Coturnix japonica: one gene and its partners. Each later gene encodes a partner of the first gene's protein in a complex. Links are inferred from orthologs where the notes say so. Each region holds a gene or a part of one and is shown on either strand. Other genes may lie near its edges.

Region 1 (9,790 bases):
GACAACGTTACCTGTAATACACCCAAACTTCCTCTCAAGTACCTCCCAAAAGTGAAGTCGCATTAATTTGAACGTTACAAATCTTCACTGAGATTGTTAAAGAAAGAAAAAAACCCACAAAAAAAACCCAAACAAGAACTATTTTACCTGGTTATCAAGCAATGGCTGCAGCATGGCACTTGCTGATCCACCTGCTTTGAAAGAATCTCTCTGGTATGAGCCTACTGGATCAAAGCTATAGACTGCTCCCTTTCCTTAAAGGAAAAAAAAATAAAGAAGGATTTAATGGCGAAGACCTCTACTTTTTTTAACAACTAGCAGAATGTTTAGTCAGCAGAAGTGCACAGTTCTTGGAACTATATTCCAGAGCGTGTGCTTGGATGCCTCTGCAGTGCCTTCTGGGAAACCGGGATGGTGCTTTGGGCTCTTATGTGCTTCCCTCTGGAGTCAGGCCAGGTTGCGCAAAGCAAGCTGTCCTGTGCCAGCATCAGAGACAGAGATGCACTTTAGCATCTACAGGGTTTCACAAAGGAGTACAAGCGAAAACGCAGTGCCTGCATTCCTTCCCTTCAGACAGGTTGCACCTGATGTGATAAGCTGCCCACACAGCACTGGTAACTGTGCAGCCCCAGCACAGATCTAGATAGTAACTTCACATAGAACAAATCAATCTTACTGAACCCAAATCAAACCCATGTGTGCAAATGCGTACTCTCATGCTTAACACACACTACTGCATCCTCACTGTCCGACATTCACCATTATGCAGGGCAGACTGACTCACCTCACCCTCCACATACTGCAGACATCTCAGCAAGACTGGGGAAGCACTAAAACTTAACTTAGTTTGAACAGCAAACTGCAAAGAGTGGTTGAAATTCTCTAAACAAGATCTCTGAGCTCCTGCTCTAAGTCAGAGAACACACTATTTTAGCAGCTCAACCACAACACCGGACCCAGAAAGTCCTGGAAGAGGAGAATTAAACTTACAGCATCCACGTAGAAGTCATTATTTTTGTTAGAGATTAGTTATTGTTTAAAAGTCCCCATAGAAAACCTGTCTCCAGAGTTGTCCCTCACAGTTCATAATCTCTACTGCACTGAAAGGCACAAATAACATTTGTTTCAAGTCTTACCTTCCTCATCAAGTCCACCAATGATGTTGTAAACGTAGTAAGGAAAGAAACGTCGAGAATACAGGATTGTAGACAGCATTGCTGCAATAGCTCCGGTAGTCATGGTCTTGTTGTTGGAATGCTTGTACATCTGCAAATGGCACAGCACGTCCAGTGGGAATGTCACACACAAATTCATACTTCATCCAAAGTACATTTTCTGTAACTTCATTACTGAGGGAAAATGATGCTTAGCAAAATATTAACCGGTATGCTTACAAAAACAACACTGGTCCAACAGTAATACCCTAAACCAAAATTCATACTTTCCTGAGACATAGCAAAGAACAGATGTTGCCTCATTATTCTCTTTAGTGCTTCCATTTTTAACCCTGTGATGTTACACCCGGCAAGAACAAGGCCTCAATTTCACCCTGCCTGATCTTTCACTAGCAATACAGCTACAGTTACAATATGAACACTTGATGAAAAAGAAGAAATTGTATTTAAAATTATAATAGGCCTCAAATGCAATACCAAAAATACATTTCTAAATACATTAAGATAGCTACCTTTAATCTTGCTTCAATAATCTTTGTGAGTGTAAGGCAGTCACCATGGAAGCCACTGCATCCAATGACTGTTCGCTCTGTTCTGTAAAACAAAGTTTAGTTGTGATTTTAGATTTAGCACGAACTATATCAGCTTCTTATAAAGTAAGTTATGAAAATATCAAGTGTATTTCCAGCTTCTCAAATGCTATCAGAAATAGTTGTCTAAAATGTAGTAGTAACAGGTATTCCAATAATAAAAGCTGACTCATTAAGTGCAGGATCACACAGATGTTAGTCTTCAACCCACTGATTTCCACAGCAAAGCTTTGGAAAGAAAAAAATACCTTAATTTCTTCAAGCACCTCTAACTGTAGCTATTACCAAGCCGTGTCATGTTACTCAATATGTTTTTACTCCATCTGGCCAGGGAACTGCTTTTAGCTGGTGAGGTAATGTTTATGATGTAGGTGATTTTTGGTGTCAGCACAACAGTGGTGACCTCATTGCAGCCTTTCAGTACCTGAAGGGAACCTGTATCCATGAGGGGAGTGAACTCTTCGAAAGGGCTGACAATAGCAGGACACGGGGAAATGGTTTTATGTTAAAAAGGGAAGATTTAGGTTGGATGTTAGGTTAGGGGGAAGTTCTTCACTAGGAGAGTGGTTAGGCCCTGGAACAGGCTGCCCAGGGAGGTTGTGGATGCCCCGTCCTTGGAGGTGTTCAAGACCAGGTTGGACGGGGCCCTGGGCACCTGATCTAGTAAAGGTGTATGTTTGGGGCCCTGCCAGGCAGGGGGTTGGAACTACATCTCCTTGACGGTCCCTTCCAACCACGGGTCATTCTGTGTTACTGTATCTGCTGATGTACTATACAGTATTAGCAGTTTGATCAGTTTCATAGCAAACATTTAACATTAATTAACTGGCACTAACATTTAAGCAATAACTACAGGAACCCACATTTGAATTTTAAGTTCTATAAATCTATGAAAGCCTACAAACACTGACATATTGTCCTGGTTTTGGCTGGGATAGAGCTCACTTTTTTCCTAGTAGCTGCTACGTTGCTGTGCTTTGGATGGAGGGTAACTGTTGGTAACATCCATGTTTTGGCTGTTGCTGAGCAGCATTGCACAGAGCCAAGTTGCTTTCCCAGCTTTTCACACTGCCATGACAGCAACTGAGGCCATGAGGGTGCAAGGGAAGCTGGGAGATGGGACCAGGGCAGGACAGCCAATCCGAACCAGCCAAGGCGATGTCCCATACTGTGCAGGGTCACGTGGACATGATAAAGTTGGAGAGAGCTGATCAATGTCGCAAGGAGAATCTGATCTAAGGAACTGGCTGGGGCATTGGTCAGCAGGTGGGAGAGCAATTGCCCATGCCTTCCATTCTCTTTATTATTATTTCCTTCAATTTTCTGACCTATCAAACTACTTTTGCATCAGCCCATTGGTTTACCTTGTGTTTTTTCCAGTATCATAGTCTCGTGTGGGTTGGAGGGCCCTTAGAGATCATTGAGTCCAACCCCTGGGATTCGAGCCCCTGTGTAGCAGAGCGGGCATTCTACCACCTTGCACACCACAGGGGGATTCGAACCCAGGCTCTCTTTCACATCCCACTGCAGGTGGGTTGTGGTGGAAGCAAGCAATACCTGCCCAGTGCTTTAGCTTCAATGAGGTTAAAACACCAGCACACATTTATAAGTTTAAACACTCAAAACCACTTCAATTGAGATTGCCTCAATTTCTGTCACCCGAATTACCCAAAGCCATCCTGGGCTTCTACACCTAATTGTACTAAAGCAATCTTCCACTGGACAGTAACAGAGAATCAAAGATACTACACAGAGTTACAGGCTCATTCTTCCATTTCAGTCCTTACAAGGTGCAGACTTACAGTTTGTAGCATTTGGGGCTGTCCCGGCTGTGAATTGCATAACCTTCACTCAGCCGTGTGTCGGAGGCAAACAATGCTGAAAGTCTTCCCCAGCGATCGCCAGCACAGTCCTTAAAGAAGAGCATTCATATAATTCACACAATTGGCACAACTTAGTTCTTAGGCAAGCGATGAACAGCCAGAAGAATAACAGAATGACCCGGGTTGGAAGGGACCTCAAGGATCATGTAGTTCCAACCCCCCTGCCTGGCAGGGCCACCAAACATACACATTTACTACATCAGAGTTGCCCAGGCCCGTCCCAACCGGGTCTTTGGAACACCTCCAAGGACGGGGCATCCACAACCTCCCTGGGCAGCCTGTTCCAGGGCCTAACCACTCTCCTAGTGAAGACAGAAGGCAAAACGACAACGAGCAAGACGCAGCCCAGCTCACCTCCCCCCGGCCCATCCCTGCCCGCGGCTCTCACCCGCCGTTGAAGGTGTATGGCGAGAAGCGGTACTGCACAGGTCCGCCCAGCCCATATCCCGGCTCCGGCCTCAGCTCGGCGTATCGCGCTGCGGACAGCATCCCTACGGCACCAGCCCTGCTGTCTCACGGCAAAATGGCGGCACCGGAAGCGAGGAGGCGGCGCTCTACGAGGCACAGGCACCTCGTCTCGTCTGCTCTGGAGGTACCACGCCCCATCGGCGGTGACCACCCGGCCGCATGGAGCCGTGCCAGCCTTCGGGCGGCAGGGCCGGCAAGCACAGCAGGCTCTCGCCATGAGCACACCAGCACACCGTGTGCCCCGGTGGTGCAGTAGTAGCAATGCCGCTTTGCAACACCGCAGGCCCTGGGTTCGAATCCCCCCTGTGGCGCGTGTGGTAGAAGTGCCGCTCTGCTACACAGAGGCTCGAATCCCGGGGGTTGGACTCGATGATCTCTAAGGTCCCTTCCAACCCGCACCACACTGTGACACTGTGAGCACGGCACCACACGCTGTGCCACGAGGTGCGAGTAAAGCCAACACCCCGCAGACAACAGCCCGCAGGCCCCGCCCTCACTCAAGATGGCGGTAAGAGGGGCGGGGCGGATTCGTGGCGGAAGTGACGCAATCGAGGCGCGCCGGCGGCGCGGTCTCGGGGCGCAGCCTGTGTCCCGCAGTTGCGGTGCTGGTTGTGGCGGCGCCGCGCGGCAGGTACCGGCCGTTCCGTGTCCCGCTCCGCCCCGCAGCCCACACGGCGCGGGCTGTGCCGCTTATGGCGGGGGGGGTGGCCGGGCCGAGCCCGCTTCTTACTCCCCGTGGGCGCCGCCGTAGGGTCGGGGTCCTGCGGGCGGGCCCGAGCGGCGGGGAGGGGGGGAGGGAGAGAAGGGATGTGCGGGGTGAGCGGGCCGCGGGCCGAGCGGAGCGACGGGAGCGATCCCGGTACGGCCGTTGGTGCCGGGGGCGTGATGGCGGCGGGACGCGGTCACCGCCTCCCACACGTGACGGCGGGCGGGGAACGCGGCGGCGGCGGCGGCCTTGGGTTCGGTACGGGAGCCGTGATCGGCCCTTGCCCTGCACGTGGGCCTGGTACCGGGGCTCGGCGGCTGGGTTCGGTGTATGTGGAGTCCGCGCGGCGTGTTGGGCCTGAGGATGGGCTGCCCGTGATGCTGGGTAACGGCTGGGCCCCTTCTTTGCACGGTGTGCAACGTGGAAACGCCTTTGGGTAAAACAGCGGGTGGTTAATGTGATACTGAGTGCCTTAAGGACGAGAGAAAGATGGGCAGGCTTTCTTCAAATGTTTCAGTGCTGTGCCTTAAAATGGCTTAGGAGCTCTCTGTGTAAGTGTGCAGTTAAGCTATAAATGAATAGGAAAAATATCTGATAAAAAGGCTTAGCATTTCATAATATAGCTATGCAGAGAAGGAGCTGGGTGTTTGCAGACAGCAGGTTGGCCATGAGTGTGCCCCGGTGGCCCAGAGGGCCAATGGGATCCTGGGGTGCATCAAAAAGAGCATGGCCGGCAGGTTGAGGGAGGTGATCTCCCCCTCTGCCCTGCCCTGCTGAGGCTCCATCTGGAGCACTGCGTCCAGTTCTGGGCTCCCCAGTTCAAGGCAGAACAAGGAGTAGTGGACACAAACTGCAGCATGGGAAGCTCCGTACAAATAGAGGAAGACAGAGCTGCCCAGAGAGGCTGTGGAGTCCCCTTCACAGTAGGTACTCAAAACTTACCCAGCCACTCTCCTGCTGTAGGGATCCTGCTTTAGCAGAGGATTGGGCTCAGTGATCTCTGGAGGTCACTTCCAGCCCTTACAGCGCCATGAAAGCATTTCAGTTCTCTATTTGTATTGTTTCTTTCCATTGCGTGCCAATAGAGGTACAGGTCTTTGTTTAAAAGGCAAAAAACAAACAGTAAGTGAAACAACACCCAGAAGAATACTTTCGTTTCATGCATATACCTGGAATTGGCTTTTAGTTTCCCTTTTTCCCCTCGTGAAGTACGTCATTGCAATTCAAAATACATTAGTGCTTTGCTTTATGGAAGTAGATGGGAGGAGGTTTCCTAAACCTGAGTTTACCAGCAGTATTTTCATATAGCAAAATCAAAAAACAACTTTGGAAGGCCAAGCCTTAACTCTGCCCAGGGGGAGATGTGTGAGCGAAGCGTGGCTTTAGGCTCGTCTGTCAGTAGCTGGTGGAATTCAGTTCTGAAAGTCAATGCTTTCCCATCTGAAGCGATGCATGCAGGACTGGAGCTGTGTGTGAAGGAGGCCTTCGTTGTGGAGGCGGCTGCTCACGTGCAGTGGATGTTCACCAGGGGCACTAGGGCTGTAGAAAGAGATTGCTTTATATAAGGTGCATGGGTGTGTGCGTGCGTATGAGTGTTCTCGCATATATTTGTATGTGGGCATTTCTTATCTAACAGACCAGCTGATAAGCCTGCTTTTGTTTAAATGTTATTCTCAAGATATTACTTCTTTTCTTTTCAGGCCCTGTTTAGTGTTTTAGACTCGCAACGTGTTTTCTCTGGAGCTGATGTTTTCCTGACACGTTTTCAGCTTGGCTAAAAAGCTGCTTTGCTGGAATGCTTTAGAGGGTCAAAAACCCTTTTTGGTTTTAAATTAATTTCAATTAATTGAAGGAAATATTTCTGGCCTCACCAAAGAATAACCGGAATCATGGATCAGAACAACAGCTTGCCACCCTACGCTCAAGGCTTAGCCTCCCCTCAGGTAAAAAGGGATGATGTGATATGCAAAAGCGGTCTGAATTTCTTTGTGGGAGTGTTTTCTGTGTCTTGTATGTTATTTCTTTGTGTCTTTTTTTGTTTGTGTGTTTGCAGATCTGAAAAATTCTACTGTATATAACTTACTCAGTAAAAAGCAGAGATGAAAAACCATTTATATATAGATAGATAGATAGATATGGGTATATATAGATATATATCCAGAGGTTTAAGAAATACACTGATATATTTATGGTTTTCATGAAGCTGAAACATTACTGGCATGTTGAAAATAAGAAGGTTCAGGGGAGACCTCATTGCAGCCTTCCAGCACTTGAAGGGAACTTGCAAGCAGGAGGAGGGGGGCTGACTTTTTAACATGGTCTAATAGCAGTAGGACAACGGGGAATGGCTTTAAACTAAAAGAGGGAAATTTAGGTTAGATGTTAGGAGGAAATTCTTTATTCAGAGAGTGGTCAGGCACAGAGAAGCCTGTGAAGCTTCTCTTGGCCAGAGAAGCTGTGGATGCCCCATCCCTGGAGGCATTCAAGGCCAGGTTGGATGGGGCCCTGAGCTGGTGGGTGGCAGCCCTGCCTATGGCAGAGGGTGGGACTGGATGGACTTTCCCTTCCAACTCAAGTCATTGTATCATTTTAACTTTGTTCATTGCTTTTGGAATCCTTTAAATTGGCTTATATGTAATGGACTACAGTTGTGCTGTGAATGCATTTGCATTCTAATGATTGCAAGTAGGAATTGTGGGTCAAAGTTGAGACGCACTTTCCAGGTATTGTAGGAAACGTACCAGCGTCGCTGACTGGTGCTGAGAAGTGTTGGAATTGACAGATCGATTGAGGTTGTGATTCATGTTGTGTAAGAACTGAATCTTCCAAAGGTTTTCTGTTTTTAGCAAGTTAGTAATATACCGTGGGCTTGATGTGACCAGCTAAGATGATTTATTCTTAGACTCCTACTACTTCAAGCTTCTTCTCTTTAAAACAATGTTAAGTCAAAGCGTCTGTGGTTTCTTTTTCATGTTTTCTTCTGCAGGGTGCAATGACTCCTGGAATTCCAATTTTTAGCCCAATGATGCCCTATGGCACGGGACTGACACCGCAGCCTGTCCAGAGCACCAACAGTCTGTCTATCCTTGAGGAACAGCAGCGGCAGCAGCAGCAGCAGCAACAGGCAGCACAGCAGTCTACATCACAGCAAGCGACACAGGGAACATCTGGTCAAACTCCTCAGCTCTTCCACTCACAGACTCTTACCACAGCCCCTTTACCAGGAACCACACCTCTGTACCCCTCCCCAATGACTCCAATGACTCCTATAACTCCTGCGACACCGGCATCCGAGAGCTCTGGGATAGTGCCACAGCTACAGTGAGTGTGTTGTGTGCTTGTACACCGTGACATCTCAGGATGTGCTTTAACTCGAAATATCCAAGAGCAAAGCCACATAAGTAATTGTGTACTGCATTTTGATAGGAAAGAAGGTCTTGAATATTTATTTGTATGAGTAGTGCAGAACATTGACATTGTAAACTACTTTTTACAAGGGTGGATAGTGATAGGACAAGGGGGAATGGTTTTAAACTGAGACAGGGGAGGTTTAGGTTAGGTATTAGGAAGAAGTTTTTCACCCAGAGGGTGGTGATGCACTGGAACAGGTTGCCCATGGAGGTTGTAGATGCCCCATCCCTGGAGGCATTCAAGGCCAGGCTGGATGTGGCTCTGGGCAGCCTGGTCTGGTGGTTGGCGACCCTGCACATAGCAGGGGTGTGCAGAGAATTTTGTTGGTGAGATAACATCTGTAATGGAATTGGAAGGGTTGAAAGGAAGTACTGCCCTAAAAGAGGAGTTTCCTGTCAGTAGGAGAGATGTCACTTAAGCTTGCTTGGTTAAACAAATGAAAAGAAATTAGTAAGTATGTTATGATGGATAAGATGCGTGAATTCTTTAATTTACTTTTTAAAATGTATTTCTCTGAACTATTTTCAGGAATATTGTGTCCACGGTGAATCTCGGTTGCAAACTTGATTTAAAAACAATTGCGCTTCGTGCCCGAAATGCTGAATATAATCCCAAGGTAAGAGAAGTGTGTTAGAATGTATCCAGTAACAGGTATGTGGGCAGAACATCTCTGGAGTGTGCTTTGCTGTAAGTAGCTGGATTGAACAGGGGGGGTTTTATGGCCTCGCTCCCCCTCTAAGCTCTGTTCTTTCAGATATTCCCCCAGTACTGGCTGTTGCTGTCTGTTATAACAGCGATGCTGTTAACAACTGCATGTGAGTAAGATGCTCATGCAGCTCACATTTGAGTGTGCGATGCTGGCTGTTATGTTAGGGGTAGGTGGCTGTGCAGAGCTTGTAGGCTAGAACGATCAATATGAAATGCTGGATTTTCACAGCAGAGAGAAAAGAAGGGTTATGTAACGCACTCGTGACTTTTAGTCAGTGCATCCTTTTATGAAACAAATAGCTTGCTTGGCTGTGTTATTTAAGCCACAGTTTGACAAATGTGTTTTTGGGTAACCCATGCTACTACCTTCATTATGTCAGCAGAACAGTAGTACATGAGACTGCATAGTGAACTGGTCCAAGTTTAATACAGCACAGAGATTTTGTGTGTGATACCCACATCAGTTTGCAGTATTTGTTTCTTCAAAGAGCTTAAGAATGTTTATAAATGCAGGTAGAGATGTTACAGTATGTAAAATAAAAAGCTAGAGCTTACTGGGCTACTGTATTCTACCATAGTAGTTAAGGTGAATTCAGTTTACATGGAATATGGCTTCTGACTTCCCAGTGGTTCTGTTTGATGACACTGTAATGCTACCCAAATGTTTAAGGTACAAAACCAAAGTAGACCATAAAGTATTTGCATAACCTTCCATCCTGCTTAGAACAGATTGAATTTCAAGACGTGGAGGAAAACTTGGTGTTAAGATCATTGCTGTCATTGTGTTGCAAACATTAGTAGTATTTGTGTCGTGTATGTGGTAGTTAGAAATGAGCTTAGTAAAAGAGG
Region 2 (9,790 bases), on another chromosome or scaffold:
TCTCGGGTTCTCTCAGGGCACTGCCCGGCTTGTTTCCACACAGGTCTGTCAACTTCATTTGAATCTCAGAGTCTTGGAGGAAAAGGAAACGTCTGCGCTGCCCCAATTTGCCCCCCAGGCTGTAAAGGCTGCGTGATAAAGGAGAGCAGCAGCACCAGGGGAGGGACTGAAGCCCATCTGAGCTTCAGGAGGAGCTGCAATAACACCCATGCACTCCAACAGCTCCTGCAGGGAACCTCCTGCCTTATGCTTCAAAAGCAATTGCCTGATGCAGTTAAAACAAAATTAAGGGGGGAAAAAAAACCAGCTGCAGTCACAGCTGAAATCACAGACAACTGCATGCTCTTAAACCTTATGGTGGTAGGGAGCTGAGACCTGCAATTCCACTCAGAAGAGGTTACGGATTCACCAGGAGTCCAAGGGCACATTACCTACATAAGGCTTCTACCATGCAATTCTCAGCACGTTCCTAAGGGCTCCTTACCTGTTTGTGAGCTTCTGTAGTGCAGGCTTTTTTGTAGGGCCTGATTTCTTCAGAACCAAAGCCCGGGATCCACATGTTCCACTGACGCTCTGGAAGAGAGAGAGCACGTGCCAGAGCACTGAACCCACCTGGAGACGATGGGTTTAGGGGCAGATTATCCCCTCATTCCTTTATGGTGAGAGCAGTGAGTCTTCTCATGGGTTGTCACCCCAGCAGTGGGCTGTGCACCCACCTCTCAGGTGAGGGCAAAAGCTCCTTACCAAGGTGCAACTGGACATCTTTCACTTCCAGGGTGTTTGACTTGCGATGCCGTGCGAGCTGGCAGGCAGCTGTCACCACGCTCTCTATGAAATCATCAGCAATCTGCAACAGCATCTGCCACAGAACGAGGACAAAAAGAGGTCTCAGCAGCACCCAACAGCTGAAACTATGAGAATGTATGAAAATGAACCCTCCGAAGATAATGTTTCAAGGGTGTTTTTGCTTCCCTGAAGCCTTTCTGAACACTGGGAAGCAGAGACATGGATGGCTGAAGGCTGCAATGAACGTGAGAATAAGGCAGTGTAATATAAACCAGCCCTCCCTGCTTTGGGCAAAGGGTCACTGGGCTGTGAGAAACCCCAGAGCTGCTCTTTCTGCAGCCCCTGCCATGGGTTGGTATCTACCTCCTCCACGTCTTCATCGAGCTGTTCGTTTGGATCCACCTCACGCACCAGGTCCTGCAATTTCTTCTTGGTTAAAACCTGAGTAAGTGAGAGAGAAAATTGGAACCGTTCACTGCGATGCTTTAGCAAATCACTGCCCACCCTGCACAGCCACAAAAGACCTCCTCCCTTACAAAGCAGAGACACAAGTCACACGTGTTGACACGTGGTATCAGCCCAGGAAGGGCAGATAAGAGACATCAGGTGCTAAGGAGTCATTTTCAAGCACTACTGGCTGCTCTGAACAGAAAGCAGAGTGAGCAGAGCGCAGCAGGTTAAGAGGACTAATTCTCCTGTGCTAAACCAGCACTAAAATGCCCCTGTCTGAAGCGGGGCTGACGGCAAGAGAGGACAAAGACATAGTGAGAAATCTTTAAAGCAACGTTCCAGCGACTAATTTTGTGTTCAGGACACAAAGGAAGCATTCCCATTGCTCTAAAGCTCATCACCTTTAGCATTTCAAATGGCAAACGGCCACACGTGAGTGCTGGATTACTGCAGGGCAGAAGGCAGCATCCTATCAGCCCAAATATGTGAATAGATCAGGAATTCCAGCACTGCTGGGCAGCAGGGAGAGCTGTGAGCATCCCCCCTGCAGCTGGGGATGAATTTACCTGGTTGCTTTCAGGACTGAGCCGCCCTCCTCCGCTGGGTGTACCCGGCATCTTTGCCACGGCGGTGCTGTTTGCCATGGAGCTTTGAGGGGGAGTGCTGGCAGGTTCAGGCTTTATGGAGGAGAAGTTGGAGAGGTTGATCAAGGTAGATGGGCCAAACTGGTTCATAATCTGTTGGGCTTTAGCTTTTAGATCATAAAGCTTGTCGAGGTCCTGCTTCTTCTTGGGGTTGTGGGGACCCAAACCGATCAACTGGAGAGAGGGAGACAGACAGTCAGCAAACAGAGCAGGAATCTAAAGGGGGATCCAAAGTACTGACAGGACCCAGAGTTCATAGATGGGTCTCTGGACCTGAACGTTTAGAAGACATTCCCTGGTATATGGGCAATGAAGTCTTCCCTGAGAAGCACAGCAGCTGCATGCAGCACCCTGACATCAGCGGCTCCTCACCCTGCTGGATCCTGCATGTGTTCAGCCTCACAGCAGGGCCTGCCTGAACCACCTCACACGTACTGCAGGAGGCTTCGAGGGTGAGACCAGAGCTGAGATTTAACCTAAGGACACAGCCCAGCCCGCAATGCACAGCAGGCTCGAGCCCTGTCTGTGCTCAGTCCACAAACCCAGGAGGCAGAAGCCTAAACCAGAAGACAACCATGCTTGGGCTCCCCTCACTGCGGGTCTCAGTTTTTGCAGCAATCCCCCTCCTGAAATCCAGAGCCATCTTCACAACACAGAGCTCAGCTCCAGCTCTAAGGAACAGCGACAAGAGAGGAAACACAGACGTGGCTTCGCATGGAGGGACACCAAAAGCCACAGTGAGGAAACCTAACAGGGGAGGTTGTGGCAGCACAACGTGCAGCTCAGCCCTCCTGGGGTCACCACCACGTGCCTGTGGTTACTCACATTGTCGGCTGCATGGACGGAGCAGAGCTGCTGTGTGCAATGCACTCACAGTGATGAGCAGAGCGTCTCCTGTCTCAGCTACAAACACGTTTTCCCTTCAGCAGAGCAAGCTGTTAGTTCGGATTAATCCATACAGAAAACAAAACCAGAGATCAGGCTCAGCCAGCGGCTGTTTTAGTGCTTCACAAACACAAACCCATGCGGAGCTCTCCTACAAGAGACTTTACATTGAGCCCAATGGCACAAGGCCCTTATGCTCAAACCTCAGCATCCTCAGCGCTGTTTCATTGCACACCTGGGTTTGCACAGGGGCTGCCTGCAGGCTGTTTGCTCCCATGCTTTATATCCACATCCACCAAGCAGGAATCCTCACCATCCATGCAGGGAAGGAGCCAACACCTGTTACATGGCTTTACAAAACCATGACAGCAATGATTTGAAACCCTGGGCAGGATGCACTTCGTTGGTATAAAGCCACTTTGCACATCATTCTCCTGATCTTATGGCACCTTTTGGGTGCTGTTAAGATCACTGAAGGCAAAACACCCACGGTGAGGCCCTGCATGCCAACTCAAGGCAACCTCACTCCGTTTACTTACAGCTATCTGCGTGTCTAGATCTTTAATTACATCAGCCACTGCTGTGGGCCCAGCGAACGGGGAGGCCATTTCCCAAAGCCTTCCTTGGGGTCAGCAGCTTAAACTACTGTGTTCCACATCACTCCCAGTCCTACAGGACTCCTACAGGAACACCAGATATTGGCACCCAGCCCCAATTAACAGGGAACACTTTGGCCATTCCCAATTAACAGGAAGCACTTTGGATCCATGAGCTCCTGTTGGATGTGCTGCTCATCCATCCCAATTCTCCCTCTCAATTTGAAGCCGTTCCCCTTTAACCTGTCATTCCCATGTCAAATCTCCCTCCCACTCCCCTTTATCCTGTTGTTATCATGTCAGATCTCCTTCCCATTCCCCTTTATCCTGTTGTTATCAACTCAGATCTCCCTCCCATTCCCCTTTATCCTGTTGTTATCATGTCAGATCTCCCTCCTACTCCCCTTTATCCCATTGTTATCACATCAGATCTCCCTCTCATTCCCCTTTATCCCGTTGTTATCATGTCAGATCTCCTTCCCGTTCCCCCTTATCCTGTTGTTATCATGTCATATCTCCCTCCCATTCCCCTTTATCCCATCGTTATCAGCTCAGATCTCCCTCCAGTTCCCCTTTATCCTGTCGTTATCATGTCAGATCTCCTTCCCATTCCCCTTTATCCTGTTATCACATCAGATCTTCCTCCCATTCCCCTTTATCCCGTTGTTATCAGCTCAGATCTCCCTCCCTTTCTCTCCTATCAGCCCACATCCCCCTCCAATCACTCTCAATCAGCTCCCATGGATCTCAATGCTGCACACCCCACACGGACACCCAGCGGCTCACCCCCAGCCCTTTGATACACGGCTCATATCGCCCTATACAGCCCGTATTACAATCCCTACGGGCCGCCCCGTGCTCTCCTTACATCGGGAGGCCTCAATCAGCACCAAGACCCGGCAAATCACCGGGAGGACAACGCAGCCCCTCGTAGCCGACCTCAGCCCCACCGGTACCGGCTGTACGGCCCCATATAACCCCATATAACCCCATATCGCCCCATATAACCCCATATAACCCCATATAACCCCATATAACCCCATACAGCCCCGTACCTCCCCATGCCCCGCGGGCGGACCGAGGCCCAGCCGCCGGAAGTACTATCGGCGCCGTGGGACGCACTGCGCGTGCGCAATGTTGGGTCTGTAGGAGGCGGGGATTGAGAGCAACCCAGCATGCACCGCGTGATTTGCATAATGCTCCCAGAGCAACGGGGCGGGCGGGAAAACGAGATTTTTGAGTGAAAAAAGATGTGAAAACAGCCAAAAGCGCAGCGATATGAAGGGGGAAAGGTGGGGGATGAGGTATTTCACATCATCTTCGCTCGCCCGGAGCTCGAGGGGATTGCGCTGCTCGTAATATGCCGCATCGGGATAGCGGAGCTTTAAAAAGGGCTTCTGCCGTGCGTGGCACGGGGGGGCTGCGGCCGCCCCCGCGGAATCGACATCAAGAGATTTCGGAAGCACAATTTTTGTGGGGGGGGTCGCCGGTAACCGACTGTTCCGGCGCCCCGGGCGGTGTGTGAACGGCAGCGATAAGAGTAGGGGTCCCTATAGTGGGTGTCTATAGGGGGGCTGAGACTGTAGTGGACCCCCCCCCCCCATAGGGCTGTATGTGATGGGGTTGGGGCTGTATGGAACCAGGCACCATCTGTACCCAGAGCTTCTACCCACCTGTGTGTCCACACAGCTGATGGAGGATCGCTCTGTATCCATGTATGTATATATAGATATGGATATATTTAAATATTAGTGCACATTTCCTTATAAAACCCCTCTGTGCCCCCCCACACAACGAAGGCCTCCAGCTGTATGTGCAGCCTCACCAGGCCTCGTGGTACACGTGTGAGCAGGGACAGTCTGTGGGCTCATCTGAGCCGGGTCCATCCGCACCGACCTCCTCACCCCCATTGGGGCCAGCAGTCCGCTCTGCACCGGGTGGGGCTGAGCCCAGCACAGGGGGCTGCAGAGGGGGGGCAACGTACCGTGATGGGGGGGAGGATGGAGAGCCGGCACGGCTGGGGTCGGTGCGGGTCCATTTGGGGTCGGTGCGGGTCCATTTGGGGTCGCTGTGGGTCCATCGGGTGCCGCTGGGTTCGGGCTCACCGAATGGTGTGGCGTATTCGGGTTCTGGAGGAAGAGGCTCCGCGTATTCGTGGTGTTTACCTGGCACGTCGTAATGGCTGACGACCAGTGGTAAGGTATAGCCTTCATCTGGGGGGGGTTTGAAGGTGGACGAGCCCAACTGGCTGCTGGGGCTCAGCTGCACCACGTCTGGCTCAGCATAGTCTGCAATGGGGTAACACAGCTCTGAGATGGGGCTGGCCATGCTAAGTTTGTAGCCCCACGTCCAGCCCTGGCTTTCAGGTGTTGGTGTGGAGCACGGTACCCACCCCACACCTCCCTGTGCCTCTGCGATCCCAGTGCTGCCTTGTGATGCCCACACACTGCCATGTCCTCCCCTTGCAGAGGTTCAGGGTGCAGTAAGGGGGGATGTGGGTCTGTTCTGCCCCATCACTGTGGCCCCTGTGTTCCCATTACCTGGTGAGTGGGTTTGGCTGAGGTCCCCCAGCGCCACAGGGAAGGAGGGCAGCGTGGATCTGGGGGCTGGCAGGCTCCCCAGGGAGCACACCTGGCTCATCTCCTGCTTGGGTTGCCCTGGGCAGAGAACAGAAGCCCCCATTTATCTCAATCCAGCCTCCACCGCCCCTGGATGCCCTTTGGGGATGGGGGTGCCCTTAGAGTGGATGAGCAGGAAGGAGCCCTGAGCCTTCAACCAGCTGCATCTGACCTGAATTCGGTGCCTCCCACACTGAGTGGGGGCTGTTACCTTTTGGGAGCCCGCAGTTCAGCTTGGTGGTCGGCTTCCTGCAAAGGGAGAGAGAACAACACAGGTGAGTGGATGCCTGTGATGGAGGGTTCAGCCACCAGGATGCAGCCAGCAGCTTAACGCAGCCTCATAGAAGCCCCATGATCTCGGACCCACCTCCTCTTGTGGCAGAGGAAAGCCAGCAGCAGGAAGCTGGAGCAGAGGAGGACAAAGACACCGATGAGCAGCATCACCAGCAGCGTGGAGTCTGGGAAGGGAGAGCAGCATCAGCACCTGGGTCCAACATCCCACACCTCCACCCATGGGGGTCCCCTGGGTGCTGAGAGCCCACCCGGTGCTGTCAATGGGGTGAGGATCAGCCCCCATGTGGCACCCACCTGCCTTCTCAGGGTCCAGGGCAATGCCAGGGATGGGTGTGCGGCCAGGAGGGCGGCTGGTGGGGATGGGGATGTGGATGGGGATCTCCTTTGGGATGCTGGGCACTGCAGGGCACAGCGGGTGCTGTCAGTGATGGGGAACATGGGGAGATGGAGGTCCCCATGGGCAATAGGGACGCTCACCATAGGGCCGTGCTGCACGGACACGTGCCATCTGGCAGCCCAGCAGGGCCACCTTCATGGCAGCGCGTTGGTGCCAGCTGTGGGGTGTGATGCGCAGGTAGCGGGTTGTGATGGGGGGGATGAAGGCGTTGGAGACCTCCCCGAGGCTGTCCACGTTCCCTTCAAAGACCTGCTGGGGATGGCAGGGATGGCTGCAGAGCTGCTGACCCAGGGCTGCACCCACCCTGCTGCCCCCCCTGTGCCCACCTTGTCCTCCCGGCCGCTGCTGCCCTTGTAGGGTCTCCAGTTCTTCCCATCCCGGCTGGAGGACACCCGGTAGGACGTCACATAGAAGTCATATATCTCAGCAGATCCCTTTGTGATGATCCCTGTCGGGCAGGATGCGCCCTTATATCACCCCAACCCCCCCACAGCTCCTTCCTGGACACCCACATCCCCCGCTCTGCCCCGAGGAGCCGATAAACCCCGGTTACATTCCTCCCTCCCTCCTCCGGCCCCCAGTCTCACAATGTCCCCATTTTCTTCCTGCCGGCCTCTGCACAAAGCCCCCGTTGGCGGCAGGCTTGGCTGAACAAAAGGAGCTCGTTGGCACCAGATGCAAGAGCATAATATTGACTTGTTCATCCCAGAAATGGCTGCAGTGGGGAAGGAACAAAATGGGGACGGGAAAAAGCCACGAGGAAGGACAGATACCGTCCAGATCCCAGTTTGCACCAGTACAACCAGTACAAGCAGAGCAGGGATGGCACAGAGAGCACCCAAACTCTCCTGGGAGTTAAAGGTTGAGGGAGGGGGGGGCTGTAAGTCTGTAATGTCTTTGGGCATCTCTTTGGGCAGTGTGGGGGTCCCACCTTGGCAGCAAGCAGGGTGACATGGGGACAAGCACCATCCCCATCCACCAGCTGACACTGTGCTGACCTGTGATGTTCCTGCGGGTCCCCAGGTCCAGTTCCAGCCAGGCGGTGTCGGTGCCGGGTTCTGCTGCCCAGGAGGGGCTGGGGGTGCCCAGCGCTGCCCGCTCAGCTGCCCAGCTCCGCTCCTGCCCCACTGCATCCACCTCCTGCCACCAGGATGAGGCGTTGAAGGCGGCCACCTCCAGAGCATCGCCGCAGGCTGCAAGGTGAGGTGACAGCTGGGGACCTGCACAGCACCGCGGGCTCCTCGTGCAGCCAAAACGATGGTTTCACATATGGGAAAATACCTTTGTGGAATAGGAGACGCTTCTCAGAGAGTGAGCCCCTGTGAGAAGGGAAGGGGGGAGGTCAGGAACGGGGCCCCCCAGCAAAGCCACCCTGGGGGGCTCTGACACCCGAGGGGAGGCGGCTGGGACCCCCGTGCCCACCTTTTGGAGTGCAGCCCGTTGGCAAAGGCCGACTCATAGAGCGTGATCCCCTTCACACGGGACAGGGTGACCTGCCCACCCACCTCATCAGCGACCACACCAGCGTGCACAGCTGCCTTGCACAGCACTGAGGTCTGCAGGGAGACTGGGGTCAGTGCAGCCACGCAGCCCCCTGACCTCCCTCCATTTAGTGGCATCAGGATGGAGGTGACAGGTGACAGACAGCACCCGTGGGTGACACCATCCCAGTTGAGCAGGGCTCTGTACGTACATCCCGGTAGCCGTCCTTCGTGTTGCCCCAGATGTCCCCCTCGATGTCCTTGCAGCCAGCAGGGCAGTACACGCTGAAATGCACAGGGTGAGTGGGATGGGGACACAAGTGCTGCTGGGGATGGGTAGTGATGCTGGGGGCTGCTCACCTGACGTGCTCCTGGGAGAAGTGGGTACCTCTGACCAAACAGGAGATCAGGTCTGCAAGGCAGGGATGGCCCAAGGTGAGGGGATGTGCGGGACCCCCACAGCACCCAGCTCTCCATGGGGCACCCCATCTCTGTCCCCTTCCCAACCAAACCCTGTTCCAGGGGTAGGTTTTTCCCTTTGGATCTATGGGAACATGGTGTCTCTTTGGTCACAGTGCTGTCTGCAGCAGAGCTTGATACTGGTGCCCAAGCTGCCCTGAGGGTGCCATTCCCTATCACCTCTCCCACTTCCACAGCCCCCAGGCAAAGAAAATGGGGGCTTGTAGGGGGCTGGGGGCAACGGGAGCCAAGCTGGGGTGGGCACAGGCCTCCCTGCACCCCTGATACAGGTAGAGACACAGCTTGGGGGGTCAGCACCTACAGGGGACAGACCCCCTCCATACCTGGGTGCTGCGAGCTGGCATAGGACAGGAGGAGGCCCCGTCCTGAGCGGTGACTGGTGCTGTTGAACAGGACGGTGACAGCACTGGAGTTGGTGACCAGCAGCGGGGCGGCAGGGACAGCATTCCTACAGTAGGGCCCTGCAGGAGGGAGGGGGCTGTGGGGAGGACTGGGGTCCCTGGGGGTGGACGCAGGGACCCGGATCGAGGGCTTCACCTCCCCGGATGCGTGTGATGCTCAGGGTGACCCCACAGCCACAAAGTGACACTGAGGTGACGTCACGTCTGCCAGCCGGGTCATCCCCCTCTGCTTCCCGGCAAACTTCTCCTAAGAGCTTCTTAATTGCACCCAGCTGGGATGGAGCAAGCAGCCGTGTGGCCGGCAGCTCTCATTGAGGCAATGGCTGCGGGGCTGGCACGCACGGTTCGGCTGCAGAATGGCTCCACATCCCCTCCCTGCTGCCACCCGTCCCCCTTCCCCATTGGGAGCCACCAAAGCTGCCTCCTAAATCCCCCCGAGCAAAGACCCGTTTAATCCAAATTAATTTGCAGTCTCCATCTCCCTGATTAAAACTTCAGCTTAGCGGGGAAGATGGGTTCCTTGGGGACATCCCCGGGCCTCGATGGGGACAAGAGGCATCCCCAATGCCTGCATTGCTTCTCTTTGTCCATCCCTCCCAATGGATGGAGGGGACAGCAGGCTGTGCTGTGCTGCTGCTCTGCATTGCTTTCATCTCCAGGCGCCTGGAGATGCTCCCAGCTGTTGTCCCAGGGCTGGGGACGGTCCCCAGGAGCTCAGCACATCCCAGAGGGGAGGGCAGCGGGGTCAGGCTGTGATG
Region 3 (9,732 bases), on another chromosome or scaffold:
CTGCATCAGTGCTTGCTGCATCCAGCATCTGGCACACCTGAGGTAGCTGCAGTTTGCCAGAGCAAGGGTGGTGACAAAGAATGACAGCTTGTGGACGGGACTGGGCAGAGATCTTATGTTCTCCAGCACAGGCCCAGCTGTATCACCTGTAAGGATCTGGAGGGCACAATATCACCACACCTGACACTGTTCCTCTGCTTCTCTTTCAGCAAACTCTGCATCTGAACTCTACATCTGTTGATCCAGCAACCAGCTCAGCCTATCTCCTCATCACCTTCGGGCTCTAAGGTTTGAAGAAAACAGAAGGAACAAAATGCAGAACATCCACTGAGTCATTGATGAGGCAGGAAAAGCTGACCTGGAATCTGCAATAGTTCCTGGCAGCAGAGGCTCTGGACAGCCTGGAAGTGTGGGTTTACATGCTTGCTGGATTAGATACAGCACTGACTCAAACACAACTATGAGCTAATGGGATGGGAAAGAACAGTTTTTACATCAGCTAAATAGCATTACAATAAAAAGTCCAGTGGATATCAACCACCCCGGGCCCACTTTAATCAGTAAAGATGTTCTGACACTCCAGTTAGGCCAAAAGAAAGCTCCTGGGATCTCCCACTGGGGCTATTTGTAGTCTTGATGAAATGGCTTCAAGCTTTACTCAGAACTCCAAGGATGGAACACCTAACTCACGCACCGAGATGGATCCTGCACTCTGGAAACTCCATCTTACACACATGCAACATAATTTTGAGAAGATTTATGTGAACTCCAGAAGTGACCCAGCAGAGCTGCACAGATCCCCATCCCATGAGCCCAGGCAGGGCAGTGCTTTCTGCCAAGACATCAGCCTCCTCCACCAGCAAGCAACAAGTCCACAGGGTATTACTTCACACAATCATATTGCCAACATTAACACCACTGTTGCTTTAGAGAGGAGGTTATTTGTCAATAGTAGCAAAGCAGCAACAGCCTCACTGCATTCAGGTCATGATCTCTGCAAGCAACAGGCCAATGTCCTTAGGAGAAACATTCTCAGACGTACAGCTTATTCCCTCCTTGCCCTTGTCCTGTGCATCAAGTGCTTGTCACTATCATACTATGCAACAACCCTTACAATGCATTAGTCAAGGAGCTTGGGGGCTTCACTTTTCAGAACCACATGGGCACAGGGAAGGTTTTGGTGACATCCTGACTGCTGTAAGGGGGCTGTAAGAGTCTAAATGAATTCGCTGCTAGCTATTTTGGCTTCTGACATAAGCCAGTAAGAGCACATGGTGACAACGTGCCCTCTGGTGGCAGTGGTGCTGGGGGACAGAAGCACATGCAAAAGTTCACCCCCACATCGACCGCAGCAATTTCCACCTACCCATCTCTGTTGCTGCTCAGAAACACCAGGTTCAAACACCAGGTTCCCACACCAGATCCCTGCAGCCCCCCCTTCACCAGCACTGCCCAGTTCAGAACTGACAAAGCCTTGGGCTTTCCCTACCAAAGAGTGGACAGTCATCCATTCCCATCATTCTTTACAAGGCTGAATTTCAACAGGCTTCACAGCTTCTCCCCCCTGGGACCGTCAGTATGAGAATAACTATTCAGCTGTAGCTCTCTGAGGTTTAATGTTTGTCTGGGGTGACACAATAAGGACTTGGGATTCCCACCTCCTACATCTTCTTTGAAATAATCTGCATGAAATTCTGTAAAAACACGTGAGCTTCTTTCCTTTCTCAGTCTGAGACCGATCTGAAAGTTCTTCTTGTTGCAAAAGGAAGCGTTCCAATCTCTGGGAAAAAACCCCATGCTCAGGAAGGCGCACAGACTCCCACCATCCCACATCTCCTTGTTTTGCTGCCAGCTGACTGATTTCACAGCACTGCAGAGGAAGCTGGCACCATAAACTGGCAAACGTTTCCAGCAGCAACATCGATTCCCACTCCACATGGGCTCCAAAATAAGGATGTCACCCTCCACCTATGGACACGAACAGCCAGCATGGTTCTGCTCGCTTCCAGATTCCTTCCCTTCCACATCAGATCCCTGGCAACATCTTTCAGCACAGCCCTGAAGCTCTCCTTGTTTCACTTCACCCCTTTCCTCTTGGCTGGCCAGTCTCCTCCGGTGGCTGCGAGCAGCTGCTGCTTCACAGACACACAAGAAACCCCGACATCACTGAGCAGCCAGACCTTTATGGAAGCATTTCCCACTCCCACCCTGCCAGGCAAACGGAAGCCATGCATAACAGAATGATGTACCTGTGCCATAAAACAGGATGCAGCACCTGTGATTTTAGGGACTTCTGCACATATTTAGCTGAGGAAAATTCCACCAGGCTCTGGATTTTCAGTTTGTAACTGAGTTTAGAAGGGACTGCAGTGCTCTGGTTAGAACCCAAGGGCTCCAGCTGACACCACCACCAATGTTATGTTATGTACTGTAACATCAGCGGGTGCACTTTATCAGTTCTGAGAGCAGCTCACAAGGCATGGCAGTACTTATTGATGGGAAAAAACGTGCAGAGGAGCAAAGAGATTGTGTCTGGTTATTCAGCAGGCTGGATGCAGCCAGGACTGGAATCCAAAATAACACAGTGCTCTGCACCAATAACTAGAGCACCCAGCAGCCCTCACTGCAGGGCTTCCCCTGCTACCCCCTCCTCAGAGACACCCTGTGTACAAAGAAACAGCTTTGTTCTGAAGTGTATGATACTGTGGGATGGGGGAAAAGTATTCCCAAGAGTAAAACAAACAAACAAAAAACCCACAAAGCCAACGAAAACCAACCGGGCAGCACAGGGCTGGGATCTCATTTATCCAACAGCTCCCACGTGTGAATAAACCAAGTAATGCAGCCACCCAACATGAAGCCTGAGCCTGTTCTCAGCAGCTTCACTCGGCTGCTTTGAGCTCCCAGCTGCCACATCCCTCCATATAACGCACATCACTCCGCCCCACAATCAACCAGCAGGTCACAGCTCCACCACACACAGCGCTTCCATTCCCAGCTCCTTGTGCTCCCTCACACTCCGTTAATCACTGCCACCAATTCCAGCAGCCAGCACAGCACACACAGCCCCGAACACAGCGAGGGACCGACCCCGCCGGGCACAGCAGAGCTGGGTGCTGACACCGCCACAACAACGGCACCTTCACACACCGGCAGCTCAGGCCCAGGCCGTACTATGGCAGCAGCTCCCCGCTCCATCCACCCATTATGTGCCTCGTACCTTCACCATCCACCAGCTCCGCTGCCCGGTCCCGTCCCGCTCCTGGCTGTTGTTTACTCTCCACACGGCTCCGGCATCGCGGGGCGGGGCTGCAGGTTCTCGCAGCTCTCGGGGCATCGTGCAGCGCTGCCGGGCCGGGCCGCTGCCCCGCCATGGAGCCGCCGTTACCGGAGCTCATCGTCCCATCGTTGTTGTCCCATCGCCGTCCCATCGTTGTTGTCCCATTATCGTTGTCCCATCACCATCCCGTCGTTGTCCCGTCCCGGTCGCACCGCGGGGCTGTGGGGGATGTTGGAGCCGCCTACAGCCCCCACAGTGCAACGCGCGCCTCGCCGCACGGCCCCACCGCCCCGCACATGCGCACAGCGCTCTATGGCTCCAAGATGGCCGACACGGCGCCCGGCGGTTCCGGCACGGTAACGGCGGCTCCTCGTCGGGCCGCGGGGTCGTTGTGGGAACGGCCCCTCCGGGCGGAGCGGCGCGGCCTGCACCGGGAGCGGGACACTAACGGCTGCGGGCTGAGCGCGGCGGCTTTAAGGGGGAGCTGAACGGAGGGAGGCGCTGATTGGCTGCATGGCTGCGTGGGGGCGGGGCTTGGCGGCAAGCTGTGATTGGTCCGAGCTCTGATGCAGCGTTTAAAGGGACAGAGCGACTATGGGGGAACGTGTGTAAATATGGGGATATGAGTATGGACAGGCACTGCTTGTAGGGCGCTCCTAAGGTAAAGCCTCCTATTTATTCGCATGGAAGCTGCAGCAGGTACAGCACAATCATACTGTGTGATCAGGTGTTTGCACATCTGGAAAGCACTGCTGTTTAACACGGTCACCACCATTGCCCATATTGGCACTGGAGAAGAGCTGCATGCTGCACTCATACTGCTGGAGTGACCCACTGTTATCACTGGAACACGCCGCACTGTGCTCACAGCGGCTGCTCTGTCTCCAGAAGCATCTGCCCTCATCCAGGAACACAGTGATTCTGTGCTTCATTCACACTCCTTCATTACACACCGTTATGTCCAGCTGCTGCCACCTGTCACACAGCAATGTAATGTACACAATGTAATGTACACAATGTAATGTACACAATGTAATGTACACAATGCTGGCAGGAAGGTTCAGCCTTTACCCCGCCTCCAACATCTAACCCTGATGTCGACATCATGAAATAGGAGGCATTACTTTCAGAGCAGTCCTCATGTGTGTATGTCTGTACATGTGTGTCTGTGTAGGTGGGTCTGTACTGTGTGTAGGTAGGTGCTGTGTATGTACACCCGTGATGTGTGCAGGGACAATGTGTGAGCACAGAGCGAGTGCTGGCAGCTCGTCTGGGGCTCAGGTTCAGTGTTTTGGGGTCTGTGTCCACAGCGGTCGGGCAGCAAGCACACGACCACGCCAGCAGATAACTACTACCTGGCCCGAAGGAGGACACTGCAGGTGGTGGTCAGCTCCTTGCTCACTGAAGCCGGCTTTGAGAGCGCTGAGAAGGCTGCGGTGGAAACACTGACAGAGATGTTACAGAGCTGTGAGTGTCGGGTGCCACCAGATTTAGGGCAAAATCACCTTGAAATCGGTTCACATTTGCTTTCGCTCTTTCTGTTTTTCGTTTGTTTGTTTGGTTTTGTTTTAACTCTTTAACTCCCGGTGCTTTCCATGATGTTATGATGTGCAATAACAATAACAAAAATCATAAAACCATGACACTAGATTTGATCAAAAGTCAGGTGTTGTGCTGACACAAATGTGTGTTTGCTGCCTGAAATGAACATGGAATGTGAATAAAATAAAATGAACATGTAATGGTTGTTGGTGGTTTTTTCCCCTCCAGATATTTCTGAAATTGGAAGGAGTGCAAAGTCCTACTGTGAGCATACAGCCCGAACACAGCCCACGCTGTCTGACATAGTTGTTACTTTAGTGGAGATGGGTGAGTAGCTGACTCATCTCACTCATTCCACATACATACAGTGGGTGTTCTGTGTTGCCATGACAGTCTGTTCCTGGTGTAGTTGTGTGATGTCGGCTGTTCTGGGTTGCACACAGAGGCTCCAGTATCACTGCTGTTGATGTAGTGTGTATGCACACAGAGTACATTATTTTCTTTCTTCTTGGTGTGATTCCATTTTTCTCTTCTTCTGTATTTCAGGGTTCAATGTTGAAACACTTCCTGCATATGCAAAGCGCTCCCAGAGGATGGTGATCACTGCCCGTATGTGAGAAGTCCTTTTCTTGTGCAGGAAACCATTTGTCTTTTCTATCTGCTGGCATCCAGAGAGCTGCTGCTTTTCTCATGGATGGTGTAGTCCATTGCTCCGGGGCACTCAGTTTGTGTTAAAGATTCCTGTAATTATGATGTAGTAGGTGAAGGAGAGTGTCTGTCCTTTGCCAAACCTGTTGCTTTTGCTTCAGTATCCTCATTGCACATGAGAATCCTCAAGGTGGTTCTCCTTGTGTAGGAGGGGTCATGTAAGCCTTGTTCCCTTTTGGGATGCCAAATACAACCTGAAACTGTTGCTTGTGTCATATGCTCATGTAGTGCATGTGCTTTTTTAACCATAGCTCCTGTGACAAATCAGCCCGTGACTCCCAAAGCCCTGACAGCTGGACAGAACAAGCCACATCCATCCCACATCCCTGGCTATTTCCCTGAGTTTCCAGATCCTCACACCTACATCAAGACACCAGTGAGTGAAAAAAGACTTTTGTGCCATTTGGTTTCTGTCTGAAGTCAGTAATGTTAGGAAAGGTGCATGTGCATTCTTATTGTAGTGCTGTTCCTGAACATTGTTTCTGCTACCTTGGCACAATGCTTGTCATTTGCATATTGTACTTGCTCTAGTTTTATAGCTGATATCTGTAGCTGTTTGAAAACGTGCACATGTTGAAGGTCAGTGCTTGCCTGCATCCTATTAGTGTTTTGAACTTGATCTGTCTTCACTGAATCTAGTGACTGTACTTGTTTTGTCATCCCTGCTCTACAGACGTACCGAGAGCCAGTGTCCGATTATCAAGTCCTACGGGAAAAGGCAGCATCTCAGAGGCGTGACGTGGAAAGAGCTCTCACCCGCTTCATGGCTAAGACAGGAGAAACACAGAGTCTCTTCAAAGATGATGTTAGCACATTCCCATGTGAGTTATCTTGGAAACCTGTGCTGTAAAGGACAGTTCTCTAACAGAGTGTACATCTGGTGTTCTTGTGATTGCAGGAGGTGGGCACTGAGGGATCACATTGTGTTCAGCCTTCTGAAGCACGGGAAGGGAAGGAAATGAGGGACTTTCTATTTTAAACAGGCATAAAAACCTTGGGTTCATAAATGACTTGTGCAAAAGTTACAGAAATTCAGACAGCACTGGCTTCTACTCTAAACAAATTCCCCCTTTCTTGTGATGGTGGTGAAGGCTTTGACTGATACATCCTATCGTTCCCTTATCCCAGTGCTGTCAACTCAGTGCTGAGTTGATGATCTGTCTCCCTTCCTGCTCACTGCATGCTTTTCCCCAACACTAGTGATTGCTGCCAGGCCATTCACCGTACCCTACCTGACGGCTCTTCTCCCCTCGGAGCTGGAAATGCAGCAAATGGAAGAAACAGATTCATCCGAGCAAGACGACCAGACAGACACAGAGAACCTGCCCTTGCATATGAGCACGGTACGCCCACCCTCAGGTCTCTAGGGCCTGATTTTCTTAAACATATAAAACCTGGTTCTTTGCCTTCCTTGCAGCTGAGCATAGGGGGTGGAAAATGGCAAAGTAGGTTGCATTTTACCGGATGTAAATGACTAACATTGTCATGGTTGTTTAACTTTCTGCAAAATATGTTGTACATTGAGGTTATCTAATGGTGGATCACGAGCTTTCAATGCAACCTTTATTTCTGTGCTAGAGGAGAGAGGATCATCACGCTATTCTATGCTGTTCTCAGAGGGGATCTACTTATATTAAAAATCTGCAGTTCTCACCTTCAGTGCAGCTTTTTGTTTGCTTCTGTTTATCTTGGCTGTTGATTATGTTTCTCCCATGTGTTTTGTGGTTTGAACTTCTAAGCCCTGTTAAGACTAACTTTGGTTATTTATGCTTTTTTTTTTTCTTTTTTTCTCTCCTGTGTCAGGATGATTCAGGACCTGAAAAAGAGAATTCTTCAGTATTACAGCAGAACACCTCCTTGTCTGGCAGCCGGAATGGGGAGGAGAATATGATAGACAATCCTTATCTCCGGCCAGTGAAAAAGCCCAAGATCCGCAGAAAGAAATGAACTGTAGTCAGCTGGCTGCTAGAAGGAAGAGGAGCCCATTTCTCTGGCTGTTATGAGTAGTCACCTCTGCTGCTGTGGGTATGAGGCGTGGAGCAAGACAGAGGAGGCAGTCTGACCGAATGGCAGAAGGAGAGGAATGATCTTTGTCTGCCTGGCAAACTACACTGTCATCATTGTTTGCAGTGCTCCCTCTTCCTCCTCTGCTTTCCTCCTAACTGGGAATGCTCAGTGGTCAGTTGCCTTAAAAATGGTAAAAGCCACTGGGTTATAGATGGGAATTGTCTCATTTGCTTTGGTTTCTTCTCACTGTTGAGGAGGTTTACTCTCTTAAGAGGCACAGGACAAAAAGATTCTTGCTGCTCTACAGAACACAAAGACATCATTTGTTTTTGGCTGCCTTACAAGCTAGAAAAGAAACTTCTGCAGTGAACCCTGTTTGGCTTTATAATCTGTGGTGCATGTATGAAGAGAGAGAGAAAAATCCCACAGAGGTTTCTTTCTTTTGATTGTTGGCAGGTAAAAGCAAACACATTTATCAAAGAGTGAAGTGTAAATACAGAGCTAAGATGAGAGTTATTCTCAGCTTTTCTGACTGCAGCTGCACTTCCAACTTAAAAGTGCTGAGTGTGGTGTTTACCCTACTCTGCTTTGAGGTTATTTTCTAGCAGTACCAATGGCAGGATTCAACAGCTGCCTCGGGCTCTTTTCTAGTTCTGTTGTTAGGTTCAATGCAGCACAAGTCCTTTGAGAGTTCATGCCTTCACCAGCTGTTTTGAAAGATGCTTGCTGCAAAGCTTGGAATATAGAATAAAGCTGTATCGATTACAGTCTGCAGGGCTGTGCTATTGATCATGCTTTTAAATTTTGTCTTTGTTCAGATATGGGCTTTAATCAACAAAAGTTGCTCTTTTTTGTTTCTTTTTTGTTGTTGTTCCTTTTTTTCCTTAGATAAGGAACTTTGTTTCAACTGTGAAAATGAGTGCTGGTGGGATTGCTCTAATTGTTATCCAGTTTTGGAGGCCTTTCCTTTACTTTATGTTCAGTCTTTACTTAGGGAAAATATACACAGATATATTATATATAATATCACCCAGAGAGGAGGAAGAAGAGGAGGAATTATTTCAGCAAGAATGGAAGTATTCCTGTTAACCTATTTGAAATGCCATCTTTAGCAAAAAATTAGTCCTGCGTGTGCCATTGCCACTTCTGTTAGTGCCTTTGTTGTACAGAAAATCAAATGTACAAAGACATGATGTATATATATATGTGTGTATGTATATAAAAGGATTTATCTTTTTTTTTTCTACTTTGGATTAGGTGTTTTTCATAATGAAAATATCCCTTTCTGGATAGGGGAGAATCTGGAATGAAAATAGTATCTTTAATGTTCCTAATAAAAGAAATTTTATCTTCTACTATTAAAAGTGACTGAGTCCATAAAATTTCAGACTGAGTGGAAAAAAACACCCGAGTGGAGCCTGAATGTTTGCTCAGTGGGGTCTGGTGAAGTTCTCACCAACATGTAGGAGGTCTTTATTCTGCTGCTGCGTCTCTTCCTTTCTTTGCAATGATGTTTGATTGCTGAGAAGGTTGGGAATTTTCCAACACAGTGTGTTCAGTGAGGACAGAATACTTCCCTTTATAAGAAGTTTTTTTTCTCTGTCACAAGTGGAACATGTGGTTGGAAAAGACTGCAGAATCCTTGGTGTTTTTTAGTTGATTCTACATCTTTCTGGTGTGTGTTTTTTCTCCTCATGATAAACTCAAGAAAGATAAAGTATACGTTGTCAGCCATGATTGCAGTGGTGGAGCTGGAAGCAGAGACATTAAAAAAAGGTTTTACAGCCATAATCTGCAGGGAATGACACCTCCTCCTTGAAGATTTTTCATCAACAGTGGCAACTGAGAGTCAGCAACAGCATCCCTTTCTGACAGCTACAGCTACAAAGCTGCCTTGTGTGGTTGGGAGGGTTGTGCACTGAGAATAAAGGCTGTCAGCAGCTGCACTTGAAGCCCGAAAGTGGAAAACTGGAAGAATGTATCTCATTTTTATAGTCAAAATTGGGCTGCAGGTGAAATTGCCACAGACGCAGCTAAGCAGACCCAAAAAATGGAAAGGCTGTGTTGTGGTTGGTAGTTATTTCAAGTACAAATATTGTGAGTTCCCAGTTTTCCCCTGAGATCTGATCACTGTGCATGCAGCCGAGCTGTAAATATTTATAGCAGTCTCTACAGGCTTCACGCTACAGAAGCAC

What was found.
Region 2: TBP (region 1) and TAF12 share a complex: the UniProt entries of both Homo sapiens proteins name them as parts of the TFIID basal transcription factor complex. The link is inferred for Coturnix japonica from reciprocal best matches to the Homo sapiens genes TBP and TAF12.
Region 3: TBP (region 1) and TAF8 share a complex: the UniProt entries of both Homo sapiens proteins name them as parts of the TFIID basal transcription factor complex. The link is inferred for Coturnix japonica from reciprocal best matches to the Homo sapiens genes TBP and TAF8.

What each region holds. Positions count from the first base shown.
Region 1 is NC_029518.1:36,562,121-36,571,910, reverse strand, and holds the start of TBP (TATA-box-binding protein), read left to right. Parts: upstream 1-4,637; 5' UTR 4,638-4,747; intron 4,748-6,522; 5' UTR 6,523-6,711; coding exon 6,712-6,765; intron 6,766-7,808; coding exon 7,809-8,143; intron 8,144-8,761; coding exon 8,762-8,849; intron 8,850-9,790. UniProt on the Homo sapiens protein: The TFIID basal transcription factor complex plays a major role in the initiation of RNA polymerase II (Pol II)-dependent transcription.
Region 2 is NC_029538.1:2,025,147-2,034,936, reverse strand, and holds the start of TAF12 (transcription initiation factor TFIID subunit 12), read right to left. Parts: upstream 4,493-9,790; 5' UTR 4,417-4,492; intron 3,446-4,416; 5' UTR 3,374-3,445; coding exon 3,305-3,373; intron 2,816-3,304; exon of another isoform or gene 2,706-2,815; intron 2,055-2,705; coding exon 1,803-2,054; intron 1,228-1,802; coding exon 1,150-1,227; intron 860-1,149; coding exon 745-859; intron 574-744; coding exon 485-573; intron 1-484. Other genes in the region: discoidin, CUB and LCCL domain-containing protein 1-like, read right to left, coding at 5,183-5,649, 5,902-6,018, 6,191-6,228, 6,347-6,437, 6,568-6,672, 6,751-6,919, 6,997-7,118, 7,669-7,863 and 5 more. UniProt on the Homo sapiens protein: The TFIID basal transcription factor complex plays a major role in the initiation of RNA polymerase II (Pol II)-dependent transcription.
Region 3 is NC_029541.1:4,764,730-4,774,461, forward strand, and holds TAF8 (transcription initiation factor TFIID subunit 8), read left to right. Parts: upstream 1-3,348; 5' UTR 3,349-3,372; coding exon 3,373-3,636; intron 3,637-4,590; coding exon 4,591-4,747; intron 4,748-5,050; coding exon 5,051-5,149; intron 5,150-5,368; coding exon 5,369-5,431; intron 5,432-5,781; coding exon 5,782-5,906; intron 5,907-6,203; coding exon 6,204-6,351; intron 6,352-6,730; coding exon 6,731-6,873; intron 6,874-7,333; coding exon 7,334-7,477; 3' UTR 7,478-8,901; downstream 8,902-9,732. UniProt on the Homo sapiens protein: The TFIID basal transcription factor complex plays a major role in the initiation of RNA polymerase II (Pol II)-dependent transcription.